Linked DNA regions of Kluyveromyces lactis. Each later gene encodes a partner of the first gene's protein in a complex. Links are inferred from orthologs where the notes say so. Each region holds a gene or a part of one and is shown in the gene's direction. Other genes may lie near its edges. The genes, in order: MRPL31, RTC6, RML2, MRPL17, MRPL9, MHR1 and MRP49.

Region 1 (2,355 bases):
AATTTGGAAACTAAGCTTGAACCACTGGTAGAAGTTTTCGATGAATTAGGATCCCTAACTCAAATGTCCCTTCTAATGGGTGTAGTGAAATGCCATAATGCAGTCTCAAGTGCTTTCTTACAGAAGATCTTGGAACTTTGTACGACAGACGTCCACGATTTGGACGTTAGAGACATGGCCATGATGTACTGGCGGTGTCTATCGATCGACAACGGTGATCAAATCATCAACCAATTATTTGACAAGCATGAAATTCCTAAATTGCATTCTACCTTGGACCACTTCTCCAAGGAAACATTACAAAGTCTACTTCAAGAGCTCTCCACTCTATCCTCTGTGTATTTCAAACCAATCTCGCAGATGCAACGCCGTCCCAACGAAGTTCACATCATTAAGGATAAGGATATTGATGAATTAAAGGGAATGGCCACGAACGAGATCCTGAAAAACATGAACGATGATGTACTACTTGACATGGGTGATAGCTCTGCCACGAGAAGTACAGGCGTCCTGGACGAACTAAATGATCTTTTCGATATCACTGGTGATATGGGGAAAGTAAACATTTCACAGAAAACCAATAATAACAACAACAACACCTCGAATTCCCATGCAACCGATCTTCTAGACTTAATGTAAACTAGTTTACTCTTTTGAACACCTGTACAAACTATAATTATAATGGGAAACAATGAAGCAGATAAACTTCAATCATGGATGTGCCTTTCTAAAATGTTAATTTATTATGGTGCAGTATCTACTACTATATACAAGTAACCCCAGTGGCATGTCATGTCATGTCATATCATGTCAACTTTATTCCTTTTGTTTCTTGAGAAGATCCTCAAGTCTCTCAATCTTACGTTCCACTATCAAGTCACGTTGACGATCCAGATTAGAATCCTTCTGGTATGATAATATACATTTGCGCATAGCGTCACGAGGTTCGTTACACGCTGGGAAAAGCTTCAATCCATGAATCTTTGAACATTCGACCATGGCCTCCACGTATTCTACACATTGTGCATATGCAAATTTCTTCAAATTCTGACGAGCTTCTTTCTCCTCGGTAGGGTTCAATACCCAAATTGGTAATCTTTGATTATGCTTTCCAACGCCCTCTGACATTTCTAAATGAATAATCTATCTTTGTGGTGCAGTATTCCAGTACTATAAGAACTTCTGACCTATGGTTATGGACACAGCAGCAGCTACAAATGACAATACGCTGGCTGTTCCCCAAAATCGTTTAAATCAGTTGACATTGTTCATTTGCATAATGTTGAGATTTAAAGCTTTTTCATGGATACTTTGAAAAATTTCGAAGGTTTAAAAGATTTAATACCATGAATTACGGTGGGAAATTGGTAAAAGCCAGCCAGTAGCACCGTTATACAAACTGTTTAAGCAGCTCGTTAGGTTCTGTCATACCCGGGTCAATTGAATATCTTTGTTTCATAGAGAAATGTTCGGTGCATTCAGAGCTACACAACCTGCATTAGGTGGATTATTATGGAAAGTCCCATGGCGTATGTCTGGTCCTCAAAAAGCAAGACAAAGAGACCGTTTGAGAAGCGTTGATGATGTTCTTTCAACTCTTAAGTTAGGTCTTCATCTTGAAAGAAACCATATGGCGGTTTCTGAGGGATCTCAGCTGAATCTACGTAAGATTAAACCTCGTGTGAAGAGCTTACGTATTTTAGACAAGGCTCAGTATTTCCCAAAGGAACCGGAGATGTCTGCTACTGATAAGTACAGTGTATTCAACAGGTACTCGAAGGGATATAGAAAGGGTATACATAAAGTTCCCAAATGGACCAAGCTTTCCATCAGAAGAAACCCACGTCATTTCTGATTTGGATGAATCATCATTAAAAACTTCTATTATTACATAGTAAGTAGCCCCTGTACATAGTGAATAAAATCAAGGTATCATAGTTCATCCCAGATGTTGTGAGATGATGATGATGATGATAATGGACGGGCTTCATTCCTTAGATCGAGCAATTGGTCATTATATAGTGCTACGTCAAGGGAATGGAACAACTTCAACTTTAGCACACGTATCTTGTCATCTTTACCGATCGGTTCCTCATCAATCGTGTGGGCAGCATCAGTATCGTCATTGAGTAATTGTTTCTGTGTTTCTACGACCTTTTGAATACCCTCTTGTATCGTATCTCGAAGCTGGTTAATTTCCTGTACCAGTTTATCTATGTCTTGTTGCAATTTCGGTATGTTTAATTCGTCCTCTACGCGTTTCACTTGGCTTGTTTGCTCCTGAAAATTCTTTTTAAGTGCCTGCACTTTAGTTTGCTGTCTTTGCAGCTGTGATTGCAATTGTTTCATGAGCTC
Region 2 (2,044 bases), about 600 kb from region 1:
AAGCAGATTCTGAATCTGCATCTAGCGTAGGTTTTTCTGCATCCATCCGTATTTGGTCAGTTATTTCCATAGACTCTTCTTCGTTAAAGCGGCGTTTCTGCGGTTCTGTAAGGTCCATTGTTTCCTCCAAAACTTGGTCTTCGTTACCATTCTCTTCTTCTTCTTCCGCAGCAGTAGAGGTTTCTTGCGGTACCACATTATCGTCTGGTTTAGCGCTATGTTTTGCAAATAACTGTGTTATATCCATTGAAACCTCTTTGTCGAACACAGGTTGGTACCCATCATTTTTCGGTTCGCTTGGAGACTCCAATTTTTGGAATATTGAACCTATCGGACTAGTAAATTCCATTGTTTCTCCAGAATTGTCGTTATCATTTTTGGTATCGGCCATAGAGGCTTCAGCTACTGCCACTTCCAATTTTAAAGCGGATTTCCTTCGAGGTTCCCTTACATTTTGAATCGATTGTGGTATGAATTCGAACTTGTGCAAAGTCACATCTGGTGCAAAGGACACACGGCGATTTCCCTTCGAAATCGCAGCACTGATCCGGGATGTCGTATTGTTTCCGTCCAGTATATCTTCTTTGGTAATTCCCTCAGTAGGAAACTGTATCTGGGACATAGTCAAATTATGACTGGTGTTAGTTGTATCATCATCCTTAAATTTTTGCTTAAGGATACTTCTCGGAAGCAAAGACAATCGTTTTGGATCTGTCATATGAAGCGAGACTATCAACACAGGGTGAAATATGATAATAAATGGAAACTTAACCTAAATATTAGTCCTTAAGTTTATGATGATTCGGTATTTGTGTGTCAATATATTGATCTAAAATTCGATTGTTTACGTTTTCGAAGTTCAATGTTTTCGATTCAGAGCGCTGCTGCACATACAGTGAGAACCGAGAAAAAGGATAAAACAACTGCCTTGAAGAGTCTCTTAGAAAGGATGGGTGTACTTCATCAATTATTTATTTGTTAGTGATTCGAAACGGTCTTCAGATTTGCCCAAAGATGTTCACTAGATGAGGATGTTCAAGATCTCAGGTCATAACCATCACGTGCTATAGTCCGGGTAAATATCTTAATCTCCATTGAAACTATTTTGAAAAATTATCGAAGGCCTTTTCATGGTAGATCATCAGCTATAGAGGGCATGTTCAGTCGGTGTGATGCCTTATTGACGATTGTGGACTCCATTAGTACGTTTCAAGACCGTGGGTGATATCAAAAACTGAAAACTCTTCACAGGTATAACTCTGGAGCCCGATATAATATAAAGAGAGGGAAATACATACATAATGAGCACACTTTTCGGAAGTACGATGTTGAACTCGTTGACAAGACTGACAAGGCCAGCTGTGAAAAGTATCAATATGCTATCTATGCCAATGATGGGTCTTATGAACCCTCCTTTGACCAGAGGTTTTAAGGTAAGAACTTCCATCAAGAAGTTCTGTAACGATTGTTACATGGTTAGACGTAAGGGCAGAGTGTACGTTTACTGTAAGTCCAATAAGAAGCATAAACAACGTCAAGGTTGAATTACAATCGCCCTCCCATTCGTCCCAATCTTTCATGTATATAGATAAGTCATAATGGAGGATGTGTTCTTTTCTTGAATGTGGAAAAATGCAGCCTTCTTTCTATAAATAATTTCCATTCTATACTAATAAACTGGTTTTAAATATATAAAATTCTGAAGTTTAGATGGTTAGATATTATTCATCTCGCCAACAGGAAAGTCCTAATCCTCCTATTAATATAAGTGTTTTCTGGACGTTTGGTAACGTAACTATATCACTGGAACCGGTATCTGCTACTGTGGTATATTTGCTCTCCGTTATTTTCAGTTTGTCATTCGTAATGTCCCTAATTCTTATGACCTGGTCCACTGATGTAGCCAATAATTTTGTGTCATTATCTAACAGATTCACTGATGTTACTGTTGATGAAGCAGCATACGAATCGTGATCTAGTATTTCGGCTTTCATCGTGTAGTTGTCATTGTTCGTAAATTTAGTGATGGCTACAGCATTGTCAT
Region 3 (3,025 bases), on another chromosome or scaffold:
GAAAGGCCCTGTGTGTATCGCTAACGGTTTAGATTTGTGGTTCACTGTCTCAGAGCTCTGTATAATCTAGGATCCTACGTTTTTAGTCCTAAGATAACACTTTTATTTCTATTGACATCTTTTCAAGACGTGTTTACAATTCAGATACCGGCACCAAAAATAAAAAAACACACACTACCGAAAAGCACAAGTTACAAGTACAAGAATGGAACAGCTAATGCTATATATAAACGTATTCAGGACTGTTAGAGATAACAAAAAGCGTGTTTCTAATCCTTTAAAATTTTGAATTTTATTCATGATTAGCATGGAAACTTTTAGTTCATCATTAATAGGTCTATATATTTAAGATAGAGAATGCCGAGTAATCCACTGACACATCTAACGTACACTTCGACTACCCGAATATATCCGGAAATGAAGAAAGTCAAACAAACAAGAAGATATAACTTGTACTGTATTGCCTGGACAGTTTATTTTAATAAAGTAATCGATTGATCAGAATTTTCAGTGTTTGGCTAATGCTAGTCGAATCGTTCATATTTTCGAAATCCGTTTGGGGCGACAGCGGTCATCATAATCGATATACTCAAAAAAAAAACAATCCAAATGATGGTATTTCCATACAGACAGTCATTATCTTCGTCGTTCCTTTTACTTGTTCATTTCCCGACATGAAGAGGAATTTGATTTCCGTTTGAGTTCAGTAAAAAAGACAGAATACGTTGCGAACAGGAACTCCTGTTCCTGATACACTACAAATCGAATCCTTGTTGGTTATGTCTCTAACTCTAATTAAAAGCTTTGTAACGGATAATAAAGTATTCGTGATGAGATAGAAACTTACCTCAAAATTTTTCACTTTTCCAGTTATTTAAACTAAAAACCATAAAACAGAAAGAATAGTCAATCTAACCATGAGAGACTGGTCTGCCATTAGGGCACAAAATAAGTACACAAAGATTTCCTGAATCACGTGACCAAATATTATATAATCCGGGTAAATTCAGAATACGTTCATAGTGATACTTCTTGCAAAAAATTCCATTTGACGATATTCCTCTGATGGTATTGAAGCTGTTTGAAATTAGAGATCGCTTGAAAGATTTTGATATTAACAAAAATGAACAATGTAATTGCAATGACTTAAACATTTTAAACTATGGATATTGATATATATAAGGGTGGATATATCTATAACAAATCTTATTAAGATCAGAGTTATTTTATTATTTCTGTGAAGGGCAGTAGCAAAGCGGAGATATTGGTATTAGACGGTTTACCCTAAGAATCTCGTTAGGTGCTCTGGATATAATATCATGTTCAAGCAATTCAACTTGAGATGCCTGACGCCGCTTGCCAGCGGCGTCTCCTCAAGAGTTCAAGTTCCGTGGAATGTTTCGATGATAATGTCTTTGAACAATACTTCACTTGGTGGAATCAGATCTATGGCCAGCATCACTCCAACCGGGAATGAAGAACAATCTTCAGTTGACGATGTCAATGTCCATATGTTGAAAATCGTTCCTAATAACACAGATGTGGTAGCACTAGAGAAGCAAGACGAATTGTTAAGAAGAAGAAGAAAGTTGGCTAAGGAAGTTACACAAATGAAGAAATTGAAACCGGTTTCTCCAGGTTTGAGATGGTACCGTGCGCCAATTTATCCATATTTGCATAAGGGAAGACCTGTTAAATCTTTGACTCTTGCCAAGAGAGGAAATGGTGGTAGAAACCATAGTGGTAAGATCACGGTGAGACATCGTGGTGGTGGTCATAAAAGAAGATTGAGAACAGTCGATTTCAGTCGTTTCGAATCTGGTATGCAAACTGTGGAAAGAATCGAATACGATCCTGGTAGAAGTGCACATATTGCATTGATAAAACATAACGATACTGGTGCCCTAAGCTACATTTTAGCATGTGATGGGCTAAGAGCTGGGGATACCATCGAATCATACAGAAAAGGTATTCCACCATCATTTTTGAAAGAAATGGGTGGGAAGATCGATCCTGCCATCTTATCTGTTAGAACAGCTCAAAGAGGTAACTGTCTACCAATCTCTATGATCCCAATCGGATCCATCGTTCATAATATTGGTATCACTCCTACAGGTCCAGGTAAGTTCTGTCGTGCTGCTGGTTCTTACGCACGTATCTTATCCAAGATCCCAGAAAAGAATAAAGCTGTTGTCCGTCTACAAAGTGGTGAGCACCGTTACGTATCATTGGAAGCTGCAGCTACCATGGGTGTTGTCTCAAATATTGACCATCAAAACCGTTCTCTAGGTAAAGCTGGTAGATCTAGATGGTTGGGTATAAGACCAACTGTCAGAGGTGTGGCAATGAACAAATGTGACCATCCTCACGGTGGTGGTAGAGGTAAATCTAAGTCCAAAAAGTTGTCCATGTCTCCATGGGGTCAATTGGCCAAGGGTTACAAGACAAGAAGGGGTAAGCATCAAAACAAAATGAAGGTTAAAGATAGACCAAGAGGTAAGGCTGGTAGAAAGGCTAGACAATGATAAGCTTCCCCACAACTGATCCTATCTTAAATATCATCAGTTTTTGTAAACTTATTTCAATGACTTCCATCCTGTAAATATCGTAGAACTAGTTAATTTAAAGAAATAACATAACATCTGTTCAGTTACCAACTCTATTTTAAACAAAGTTTAGATTACTACATCCAGAGCATCATTTGGTCTCTTCTTCCAGCTTAAATTCCCAGTTCCCAAGTTCGAATAAGGAACCAACGACTAACCTTACATGCTGGGCCATGTGATCAAATGAAAGTCTGTCTAAAGTGTCCATCGTACTGTGAATGTATTTGTTAGATTTGTTGAACTCACTTTCAATGACAAAGGAAGCGGGGAATCCATTCTTCGTTGCACTTCCGTGATCACTACATGCATATCCACATTCCGTTTCCACGTAAGGAATATCCAAGAATCTTCTTATAATCAACTTAATAAATTCAGTTAGACCTGGCGTGGTATAATCAGTAATGACACCAACATGCTCA
Region 4 (2,557 bases), on another chromosome or scaffold:
CAACAACAACAACAGCAGCAGTCAATTAATGGTCAACAAGGAAATAACCATCATTTGTACCCAGATGAGCAGAATGTTCCCTCAAACCCTCATTTTAGGCCAAAACCGGTATCCTTTGATCCAACTGTGCCAAGGGACCACGTAAAAGTATATTCCAGAACCCTTTTCGTTGGTGGTGTCCCACAAAATTTCAAAGAACATGATATTGCAAGAATGTTAAGACAATTCGGTGAGGTTCAGAGTGTTATTTTGAATAATGCCCGTAAGCACGCCTTTGTGAAAGTCTATTCAAGAGCAGAAGCGGAGAGGATCATGGCGCATTTCACTGGTGGTGGCAATCCGACACATGGTTTGAGAATCCGTTGGGCCGTTGGTTTCGGTCCTAGAGACTGTTGTGACTATCAATATGGATATTCAATCATCCCATTGGCCAGGCTAACCGAAATTGACTTCAAATGGTCACAGTCCGCGGAATGGGGTGGTACTGGTGGTCAACCAATCCAAACAAACATGGTTTATGAGGAGCCCGATATTATTGTTGGTGAAGGTGTTTCATCAAAAGCGATTTCGCAAAAGATGCCAACTGATAAAGGTGTTTTGGGTCCCAAGTCTGGTAAAGTTGGTCAAGCTACTGCTGTCTCTCAAACACCTATCCCCTACAGTAATATATCTCCTCCTCCTCCTCCGGTTCAAACATCACAAATACCGAACGTTCCTCAAATCCAACAACAGTATTATAACCAGCCATTGTATCAGCAGCCTCCATCAATGGTATATGGTCAAAATCAACTGCTGGGATCGGCATCATCTGCGCAGCAGCAGCAGCAGCAGCAATCGCATCAGTCTACTCAACCTTCGGGCCAAAAATCTCCTCAACCCCCACAAAATTTCGATCCAACTGCGCAATTAAACACATTGATGAATATTTTGAACCAAACGCCAAAATAATGCTTATATAAATGCACTTAAATAATTTTCTGTATCTGATAGCCTTTATGCATATGCAATTCACTCACTACTTTGTTCTATTAGTGACACCACTTGGAAAGTTATCAAATCCGTATATCGTGATCGATTATTTCATATTGAAAAATTTTGGAATAGTAGGCATGAGAGGATGTTCAAACAATTTGAAAAATTATTGGAACATCAGCATCATGTTGAAATAGTGCCGCTTATCAGAATTGGGAAGCATATTCACCAGCTGTCAATCATCGTGTATATTCAGTCAGCAACCCTCTTCATCGACACAATTATAAATAAAAATGTCTGTGAAAGCAGCAGCAAGCTCGATTCCCAAGGCAGTAAAGGCAGGTTTGGTACTTTCTCGTGTTCCAATCGTCACTCCAGAATTGAATGCACTAGAGAACAAGTACTACCAATACCAGGCAGAACTGGAAAGAAGACTAATGTGGACATTTCCATCTTATTTCTATTTCAAAAAAGGTACTTTGGCAGAGCGTCGTTTCCAGTCTGTACAGAAAGGTGTGATTAGCAAGCAGCCTGGTGTATGGTTCCCTAAAGGAGTGCCAGACGTCAGACATAACAGAGAAAGAAGTCAAAAGCAAGATATTATGCTACCAAGAGAGGCTTCAGAAGGTTCAAACAAGTCTGATGTCTCAAGGCCAATTGTTCCTAATTCCAGAACTACAAAGGCAGACGAAAATAACGATATTACTAGTTTAGACAGAAAATTGGACAGAACTCTGCATTTGCTTGTGAAGGATGACAAGGGAAGCTGGGTTCTTCCAAGTTTCCCGGTTGATATTGAAGCTAAGGAAGGAAAGAAAGCTTTACATGAGACCGCTGAAGTGGGATTAAGAAAAATCGGCGGAGAAGATATTAATACATGGACTGTGTCGAATACTCCAGCAGGTGTTCTACAATCTGAAAAAGATCTCCAGTTTTTGATCAAATCGCATATCATAGCAGGTGAATTCAAGTTAAAGGATGAAAAGTCAATCAAAGAATTTGCATGGTTGACAAAAGATGAAATCAAGAAAGCTGTTGACGAGAGATATTTCAATAGTATACAATATGTTCTTGCTGAGAATTAACATATTATCATCAAACACAGAAAGTATTGGCATGATTTAATCACTATATATATATGTAAACCCTCCTGTAAATACTGCTTCGGATAGAAATTCCAACCCGTATCGAACACTAAAAGATAACAATCATATACATATTGCTGAACTCTGATTGATTTTAAGATTGGAACATTATATACTTGTAAGAATGCTAATTAACTTTTAAATCTATCACCATCTATCATTTGGCTTTCTAAAAGAAGACCCTGTGTTGGAGCGACCAAACGACTTCTCACTGAATTTATCAGCATCTCTCTTGTATGGTTGTTTGCGCAGCTCTTTATCCCTCTTCCCGCGCTGTGGTGTGTCTCTTTGAGTTCTACTGCTCCGATCGGTGCTTTTCTTAACAAAATCATTTCGTTTACGATCATCGGTCGATACCATAGTTTTCGGTCTGCCTGAACGTAAATCAACCATTGTCATTTTATCAAGAGCACCAGTGGTGTAAAATATTAAGCACGACT
Region 5 (2,469 bases), about 340 kb from region 1:
TCACTATTAAAATTTTGATTCCAAGTGAAAAATTGGTTGAAAGACGCATAGAGATGAGTGCTGGAAGAACAGATTGATATAGACGCATTTGATCTAATATACCCAGTCATATAGCGGCTGCAAAGTGGGCTAGACTATTTCCAGGATATACACAATTACCATGACATTTGTTTCCAGAAGACTCTTTTCTGTGTCGGCTCTTCTGCGCTCACATATTGGTTCTTCTCCGGTGTATTTGACACCGGAGACCAAGTTGGTGGTGGAATCAATGAAACTGCCAAAGATCATCAGAAAGGGTAACAAATCTCTTAAGTTATCTCAGAACGTAACTGTATCGGGTCCTTTGGGGAAGATTGATATGGAAATCCCAGATTTCGTGGAGATAAAGCAGGATGGATCTTCGGGAAAAATCGAAGTTGCAGTGAAGGATTCTACCGACAAGACGCAAAGATCCATGTGGGGGACGGTAAGATCTCATATAAATAATCATATCACAGGCGTGAATGAGAGCCATATGGCTGTTCTGAAGTTCGTTGGTACCGGTTACAGAGCTCAATTGGAGGAAAATAACACCTTTGTCAACGTCAAAGTCGGTGCGTCGGTAAGACAAGGCCTACCTATCCCAGAGGGAATCATAGTTAAGTCTCCGGTACCCACGTCGTTGATCGTGGAAGGTGTCAACAAGCAACAAGTGCTACTCTTCGCTGCCAACTTGAGAAAATTCCATCCTCCAGAACCATATAAGGGTAAAGGTATCTACGTTAACAATGAAACTATCAAGATCAAGGATAAGAAGATCAAATGATGACGATAGAATGATGATTATAATTATTATAATATTAAATAACATGTAAATACAGAAGCATAAACATACACTTCCAATAACCGTCAAGGGCACACTTAATTTGTGTTAAATCAGTGAGAGAACTACGTGCCGTTTTAATCACGTGATCTATAGGTAACTTTATCGATTCAAAAAATTTTCAATATCGAAACAGCTTTAACAATTATACAGAGATGGAAACAGGTTTCAATAGAGTCTTTAAACTACATTTTAAATCCTTTACAGTTTCTCCAGCATTGCCAAGAGGTTATCTGGATTGACACATTTGTTATCAATCGACCAGTCTTTGAAAATTGGGGAATAATGGCATTTATTGGCAGTCCTTCGTCGAAGATTTGGACAAGACTTTTCTCACAAAGTGGAGTATCGAACGGTGCCAAGTTAGTCGCACCATCCGTGGCAAGCAGCATTCATCTAGATCCTGTAGATATTAAACATTCTCCAGAAAATGCGCTAAAGAGAAGAAGATTACCTCTACGTTGTGGTGCTTTGAGTAAAAAAGTAGGGATGATGCCGTATTTCGAGAAAGAGACTGGTAAACGTATAGCAGCTACTGTACTTCAGTTGGACAATAACGAAGTTATACTACACAGAACTCCAGCTGAAAACAATTACTGGGCTTGCCAAATTGGTTATGGTAACAAGTCGCCGGAGAATGTTACCAGACAAATGTTGGGACATTTCGCTGCACATGTTGTGAATCCAAAGGAAAAAGTTACCGAGTTTAGAGTCAAGGACGAATCTGGACTACTACCAGTGGGTTCTTTAATCAAACCTTCGTGGTTCAAGCCTGGCCAATACGTTGATTTAAGATCAATCAGCAAAGGTAAGGGTTTCCAAGGTGTAATGAAACGTTATGGATTCAAAGGTTTGAAGGCATCCCACGGTGTTTCCGTATCTCACAGATCTGGTGGTTCTTACGGTCAAAATCAAACACCTGGTCGTGTGTTGCCTGGGAAAAAGATGCCTGGTCATATGGGTGTCGACACTGTAACAATTCAAAACGTGCAAGTGCTGGACGTCAACGACGAAACAGGTACTGTCTTGGTGAAGGGCTCTGTCGCAGGTCCAAATGGTGCATTCGTTAAGATCCAAGATGCTATCAAAAAGCCAACCCCAGTATAAAAAACTGTGATTAAGAAATTGAATCTTTTCAGTCGTTTAGACACCGTCCCGAAATCATTTGGAAAGCATGCCTTTCTACGGTTATTATTAACAATCTATACCTGTATATACACCAATTATAAAATAGTAACTGCTGCAACGTTGAGTGTCCTTTTCAACCAGATATTTAATGGCTTTCATACGTTGATACTGGATCCTGGGTATATGTCGGAGAGAATTGATTACAATTTTTTTCTCTATGTGGGAAGATATACGGCCTGCTATGTATATATTTGCCTTGCTTGACAAGTGTTAGTTTCAGCTTTCATTGGATCCGCAGAAACTTTTTCGTTTCTTGACCATGCTGTACATTTCTGTAAGGTGTTATCTTTACTCATCATCATCCAATTCCGATGGTTTCAATAACCCACCGATCTTGGAAGCTCTTTCTCTTTCAAGTTTATGTTGTTCCGCGAGAGCTTGTTCTTTGTCCTCTGCGAACAAATAATCGGTTGGATCTC
Region 6 (2,462 bases), on another chromosome or scaffold:
CGTGCATGGAGCAAACTTTAAGGACTTACTCATTTTATTGTAAAATTCTCTAGAAGGTTTCCAATATTTCACATCCTTGTCTTCCTCTATATTTCTATGCTGCCTGATATGATTTTTTCGGTCCATTGAGATAACCTTACCTGGTGCTACTGTACAGGGTCCGAAAACAAATGCAATGGATTGTGATGGGTTTAGACATTGTGCTAGAAAAATAGCGAGTGCAGTGTTTCTTCTACATCTTTTTTTTGACCTAGTCCGTTGACATAGAAGTTCCGCGAGTTTAGCACCGAAAGATATTTGGTCCGTCCAAATCTTCCTCACTAAAAGCCCATACTTTGCAATGAACCATTCTGTGTCAAGCTTCTTAAGATGGCTGATACAACTACTAGATTCTGCATCTACGGTAATGTGTGACCCGTCAGTATGAATAGTGACAGACCCATCTTCAATCGTGATCAGGGCCAATGACTGGACAGAACCAAATTGTAACATCTTCAACGCGTCTAGATTTTCCTCAAATTCACAATTAAGATCGATGATTATGGCGAACTTGGAATGCGTAGGCACAGCAGCAGTTCCTAAATGTTTTAGGTATGACGATGATAATGGAATATTCCCTAGTTCATTATAAGCATTACAAAAAGAACAAAACCACCCAGCTCGTGAATCTCTTGAACATAAAAAATTCGCAAACCCTCCACAGATTTTACAATTGGTATAATTCTCACTGCTTGCTAGGCTTGAATTCCCGTCAATTGTCAAGTCCGGCTCACAAATGGCACTTATCGATCCACGGTTATCATCTCCACAATCGAGAACTCTAGCTAAGCAATCTGTCCGGGACGTAGGAACGGCTCCATAATTCAATTCAAACATCAAGTTCTAGATGGTGGAATATGCGGACACTTGACGGATGAAGGTGATAACTCTACTGTGCGTGTCTGCTGATAGGAAAACCTTTCTCTGGAGATGAGATCCAAGATAAGATAGAGCAGGTAGCGGAGAATTCAATATCATCACAAGATCCGGGTAATGTATATATTAGGTTCATTCTCTTTAATTTTCAGTGTTTCTACGAAGTTGTTTATGGCATCTGAAAAAGCTGAAAAATTTTGAAAAAGAGAAAGCTGATAGTTAGTTTAGCTTGATTACAGAAGAGATCACCACATTTGTGCACACATTGTATTTAAATAACTCTTCAGAAGTCCATCAATAGCACTGGAGATAGAAGAGAACTCTGAGGATCAAGGCTTTTGTTGTTAACAAATAAGGCTTGAAGACACCATAGGGCACTAGGAAGAGATGAGCAAGCATTTAGCTATTACCAAGTTCCGTCCAGCCAACTGGCTACAGAAAGCAGGGTATGCACCACAAGTCTTTTTATTCAGAAACCTAGAGAGTGGACAAGTGCTGTACTCTCAATTCCCGACTTTTTCTTGGAAGCAAATTGATACCAATTTCCAAAGACCCAACTGGGAGAATAAGAAACCAAGCACCAGACGTGATATTTGGAAATGTATGGCTGTTGTTGATCTACCAGACTACGACAAGAGTGTAAAAGTATACCAGAATTTGTGCAGATTAAGATATCTCCGTGATGTGACATTCAGTAAACAGGCAAAAGACATGAGAAAGAAGAATGAGTCCGGCCACACATGGTACTCATCGCAATACAGACCAACATACTCTCAAGAAGCGGTTGCCGATTTGCGAGAATGTCTCCTAAAGTTGAAAGACGTCCAATCGTCCATTAAGGTCCATTGGGAAGACGAATGGAGAATGGGGGATAAAGAGAAATACTGGAACCCAGTATTGCCAGAGTTGAATCACACAACACTAGAACGTTTGGGGAACGTTTCCAGAGAGGAAAGTGCAATTTTGAAAGAACTAGGCGAAAGAGCCAAAGAAGAGTTCGCAAGAGTGAGACAACAGGAGTCAGCTGCTCAAAACATCTCTCTATGAGTTACAAAAGAAAACAAGCAAATACAAACTATTTCCAGTTGCAAAAGCTGAGCCGAGCTCAGATCTTTCACTGCTTCACTCGTCACGTCTTTAAGAAATCACTACATGTACATATATAACCCGCAGACAATCCGACTCTGTAAATAATATAAACAAACCCTCAGCTCACTACCGGCGTTTAACTGATTTGACAAGGTGATTACTAGCAGTTTTCTCCCTTGTTTCCATCATCACGTAACCTAAATATCAAAGGTTCTGTAATCATCATATTACTTCCTCTACTTTTCTACCGCTTCATACCATATGTGTCTCATGCATGCATTAACGCCTAACGGAAGAAGAAGCAGGAACCCGGACACCAAAGAAAAAGCAAAAAAAATGTCACATGACCAAATTTGAGAAACCTTAACACCGTTTCTCTGGTTTTCTCTGGTGTTTCTTTAACGACAATCCTGTTTTCCCTTAGAGGCTTCGGGTTTTTCTTAGTTTTTCTAGCATAA
Region 7 (2,289 bases), on another chromosome or scaffold:
CTCACAGCAATTGTTTATGATCATGGATTACATCGAAGGTGGTGAACTATTCTCTCTTTTAAGGAAGTCTCAAAGGTTCCCAAACCCGGTCGCGAAGTTTTATGCAGCAGAAGTTTGTCTTGCGTTGGAATACCTACATTCTAAAGGCATCATTTACAGAGATTTGAAACCAGAAAATATCCTTTTAGATAAGAACGGACATATCAAGTTAACTGATTTCGGGTTCGCTAAATATGTTCCTGATGTCACTTACACTCTCTGTGGAACACCGGACTATATCGCACCTGAAGTGGTAAGCACAAAACCTTACAACAAATCTGTGGATTGGTGGAGTTTTGGTGTTTTAATCTACGAAATGTTAGCAGGATATACACCTTTCTACGATTCAAACACAATTAAGACCTATGAGAATATTCTAAATGCTCCAGTAAGATTCCCACCATTTTTCCATTCTGATGCTCAAGATCTAATATCGAAACTCATCACAAGAGACTTAAGTCAACGGCTAGGTAATTTACAAAATGGAAGTGAGGACGTAAAGAATCATCCGTGGTTCAGCGAGGTTGTGTGGGAAAAACTACTCTGCAAAAACATTGAAACTCCATATGAACCTCCTATTCAGGCCGGACAAGGCGATACCTCTCAATACGATAGGTATCCAGAGGAAGAGGTTAATTATGGCATTCAAGGCGAAGATCCGTACCATAGTATTTTCACCAACTTTTAGCAGGCATACTTGCTCATGAAATTCAGATATCAACATGCCTCTTATCTTGCATCTACACAATATGTAAACTTTAACACGCCTTTCCCCCCGTTAGTCCCTTTTCTTTTTTTTTTTGTTTTGATATATCGGCTCATTGCCTTCAGAAACGCTGCCGTTATTTGATACATTCCTTTGAATGACCATCGTACAATACTAGATGGATTGATGTACGCACTTCCAATTCAAAATTCGTTTCATTCGTTTTGCTGTACTCTCCAATGGATGCTCGATGCAATAATCTTATTTTTGGAGTATTTATCTATCTATAATCAATGGCATTTACATATTTTGAATGCATGTATAAGACTTCATCACAAGTCCTTCCCTCACGATCCATGCTACATAAATTGTAAACTGGGGTAAGTCATGGCACATTCATTTATGTTTTGGACGTAACTTGCTTCTGTCGAATGATTTCACGTGACCAATGAATTTTTTTCCAAACTATTGAAAATTCAAAAAGTTCAGTGGACATGTCCAGTTGAAATGAGAATGATTTTACGAAATAGATGATTGAAGTGATATTGCTGAAAGTGAAGGGTCCTGGTTGCTCTACTTTATCGTCAAGGTTTATTTTACCGATTGGATACTTATACTCATTGTCACTCTAGAGAAGATCATTAATAAATAATGTCAGGAATCGTTAAACAACAAAAATTTTTGAACAAGATCAGTGCGACTACCGTGAAACCTCAAATTATATTAGATGTATCGAAGTACAGTGCATTGAATGTGAAGTTCCAGTATCAGAATTTCAATGGCCATATGGGTGCCCGTAAGTTCTGGCACGAGTTTTTGCCTTCTCTGCAGTTTTACAACCCTGCGTTGCCAATCAATGTGACCAGAATTAGAAACGATGATAAAAAAGTCGATGTACCATGCATACTAGAAGCTATTGGATCCGATGGGAAGGTTGTAGCTGAAGTTTCAATGAAGCACAAACACTCATCTGAAATTATGGATGAAGTGCTACAGAAATTGGAACACAAAAGAGTACCCCAGGAAGAAATAATAAAGGTATGAGCTCCGACCTTTGACAAAGAAAAACAAACAAACTGGAATACCTAAATATACTACTTTCAAAGTTAGGTCCTGTACATATGTATATAATAAGATACTTTTCATCCGATTTGATGTCTTATTCAAATGACATATCCTTTTGAGATGAGTTGACTCTCTGCCCAAGGATCGTCAAGACATTCAAGAACACGCGAGAAGAAGATTTAAAACGCCAGTATATGGTTACCAGGTGGTTATTTAACTTGAATTTCAGAACGCCTCTTACATCTAATTGTCATTAAGACATCTTACATTAACAGCGACTTCTTCATCTGCGGAAATGGTTTTCTGCGTATTGTTCAGTTGAAATTTTTCAATCTCGAAAATGATAAATCGCTTCAGATCTCATCATCTCATCTCATCTCATCGGTTGACCACAGAAATTATCAACACCCCAAAGAGGCATATAGTAGGGGCATTATTCACAGGTGAAGACTCTCAACCCAACAACACGAATGTCTAAT

The links.
Region 2: MRPL31 (region 1) and RTC6 share a complex: the UniProt entries of both Saccharomyces cerevisiae proteins name them as parts of the mitochondrial large ribosomal subunit. The link is inferred for Kluyveromyces lactis from reciprocal best matches to the Saccharomyces cerevisiae genes MRPL31 and RTC6.
Region 3: MRPL31 (region 1) and RML2 share a complex: the UniProt entries of both Saccharomyces cerevisiae proteins name them as parts of the mitochondrial large ribosomal subunit. The link is inferred for Kluyveromyces lactis from reciprocal best matches to the Saccharomyces cerevisiae genes MRPL31 and RML2.
Region 4: MRPL31 (region 1) and MRPL17 share a complex: the UniProt entries of both Saccharomyces cerevisiae proteins name them as parts of the mitochondrial large ribosomal subunit. The link is inferred for Kluyveromyces lactis from reciprocal best matches to the Saccharomyces cerevisiae genes MRPL31 and MRPL17.
Region 5: MRPL31 (region 1) and MRPL9 share a complex: the UniProt entries of both Saccharomyces cerevisiae proteins name them as parts of the mitochondrial large ribosomal subunit. The link is inferred for Kluyveromyces lactis from reciprocal best matches to the Saccharomyces cerevisiae genes MRPL31 and MRPL9.
Region 6: MRPL31 (region 1) and MHR1 share a complex: the UniProt entries of both Saccharomyces cerevisiae proteins name them as parts of the mitochondrial large ribosomal subunit. The link is inferred for Kluyveromyces lactis from reciprocal best matches to the Saccharomyces cerevisiae genes MRPL31 and MHR1.
Region 7: MRPL31 (region 1) and MRP49 share a complex: the UniProt entries of both Saccharomyces cerevisiae proteins name them as parts of the mitochondrial large ribosomal subunit. The link is inferred for Kluyveromyces lactis from reciprocal best matches to the Saccharomyces cerevisiae genes MRPL31 and MRP49.

The regions. Positions count from the first base shown.
Region 1 is NC_006041.1:1,082,310-1,084,664, reverse strand, and holds MRPL31 (mitochondrial 54S ribosomal protein mL60), read left to right. Parts: upstream 1-1,465; coding exon 1,466-1,855; downstream 1,856-2,355. Other genes in the region: APL2 (Apl2p), read left to right, coding at 1-639; CMC1 (Cmc1p), read right to left, coding at 817-1,128; kinetochore-associated Ndc80 complex subunit SPC24, read right to left, coding at 1,933-2,355. UniProt on the Saccharomyces cerevisiae protein: Component of the mitochondrial ribosome (mitoribosome), a dedicated translation machinery responsible for the synthesis of mitochondrial genome-encoded proteins, including at least some of the essential transmembrane subunits of the mitochondrial respiratory chain.
Region 2 is NC_006041.1:1,683,425-1,685,468, reverse strand, and holds RTC6 (mitochondrial 54S ribosomal protein bL36m), read left to right. Parts: upstream 1-1,301; coding exon 1,302-1,544; downstream 1,545-2,044. Other genes in the region: kinetochore-microtubule binding complex subunit SPC105, read right to left, coding at 1-718; tRNA (34-2'-O)-methyltransferase regulator RTT10, read right to left, coding at 1,722-2,044. UniProt on the Saccharomyces cerevisiae protein: Component of the mitochondrial ribosome (mitoribosome), a dedicated translation machinery responsible for the synthesis of mitochondrial genome-encoded proteins, including at least some of the essential transmembrane subunits of the mitochondrial respiratory chain.
Region 3 is NC_006037.1:183,120-186,144, reverse strand, and holds RML2 (mitochondrial 54S ribosomal protein uL2m), read left to right. Parts: upstream 1-1,319; coding exon 1,320-2,525; downstream 2,526-3,025. Other genes in the region: KLLA0_A02013g (putative aminopeptidase), read right to left, coding at 2,698-3,025. UniProt on the Saccharomyces cerevisiae protein: Component of the mitochondrial ribosome (mitoribosome), a dedicated translation machinery responsible for the synthesis of mitochondrial genome-encoded proteins, including at least some of the essential transmembrane subunits of the mitochondrial respiratory chain.
Region 4 is NC_006039.1:256,993-259,549, reverse strand, and holds MRPL17 (mitochondrial 54S ribosomal protein mL46), read left to right. Parts: upstream 1-1,265; coding exon 1,266-2,057; downstream 2,058-2,557. Other genes in the region: Nrd1 complex RNA-binding subunit, read left to right, coding at 1-948; TEX1 (Tex1p), read right to left, coding at 2,265-2,557. UniProt on the Saccharomyces cerevisiae protein: Component of the mitochondrial ribosome (mitoribosome), a dedicated translation machinery responsible for the synthesis of mitochondrial genome-encoded proteins, including at least some of the essential transmembrane subunits of the mitochondrial respiratory chain.
Region 5 is NC_006041.1:1,426,393-1,428,861, forward strand, and holds MRPL9 (mitochondrial 54S ribosomal protein uL3m), read left to right. Parts: upstream 1-1,147; coding exon 1,148-1,969; downstream 1,970-2,469. Other genes in the region: MRPL6 (mitochondrial 54S ribosomal protein uL6m), read left to right, coding at 161-805; exportin CRM1, read right to left, coding at 2,339-2,469. UniProt on the Saccharomyces cerevisiae protein: Component of the mitochondrial ribosome (mitoribosome), a dedicated translation machinery responsible for the synthesis of mitochondrial genome-encoded proteins, including at least some of the essential transmembrane subunits of the mitochondrial respiratory chain.
Region 6 is NC_006039.1:893,436-895,897, reverse strand, and holds MHR1 (mitochondrial 54S ribosomal protein mL67), read left to right. Parts: upstream 1-1,302; coding exon 1,303-1,962; downstream 1,963-2,462. Other genes in the region: GTPase-activating protein NEL1, read right to left, coding at 1-876. UniProt on the Saccharomyces cerevisiae protein: Component of the mitochondrial ribosome (mitoribosome), a dedicated translation machinery responsible for the synthesis of mitochondrial genome-encoded proteins, including at least some of the essential transmembrane subunits of the mitochondrial respiratory chain.
Region 7 is NC_006038.1:623,044-625,332, reverse strand, and holds MRP49 (mitochondrial 54S ribosomal protein mL61), read left to right. Parts: upstream 1-1,396; coding exon 1,397-1,789; downstream 1,790-2,289. Other genes in the region: KLLA0_B07205g (cAMP-dependent protein kinase), read left to right, coding at 1-727; RKM3 (protein-lysine N-methyltransferase), read left to right, coding at 2,281-2,289. UniProt on the Saccharomyces cerevisiae protein: Component of the mitochondrial ribosome (mitoribosome), a dedicated translation machinery responsible for the synthesis of mitochondrial genome-encoded proteins, including at least some of the essential transmembrane subunits of the mitochondrial respiratory chain.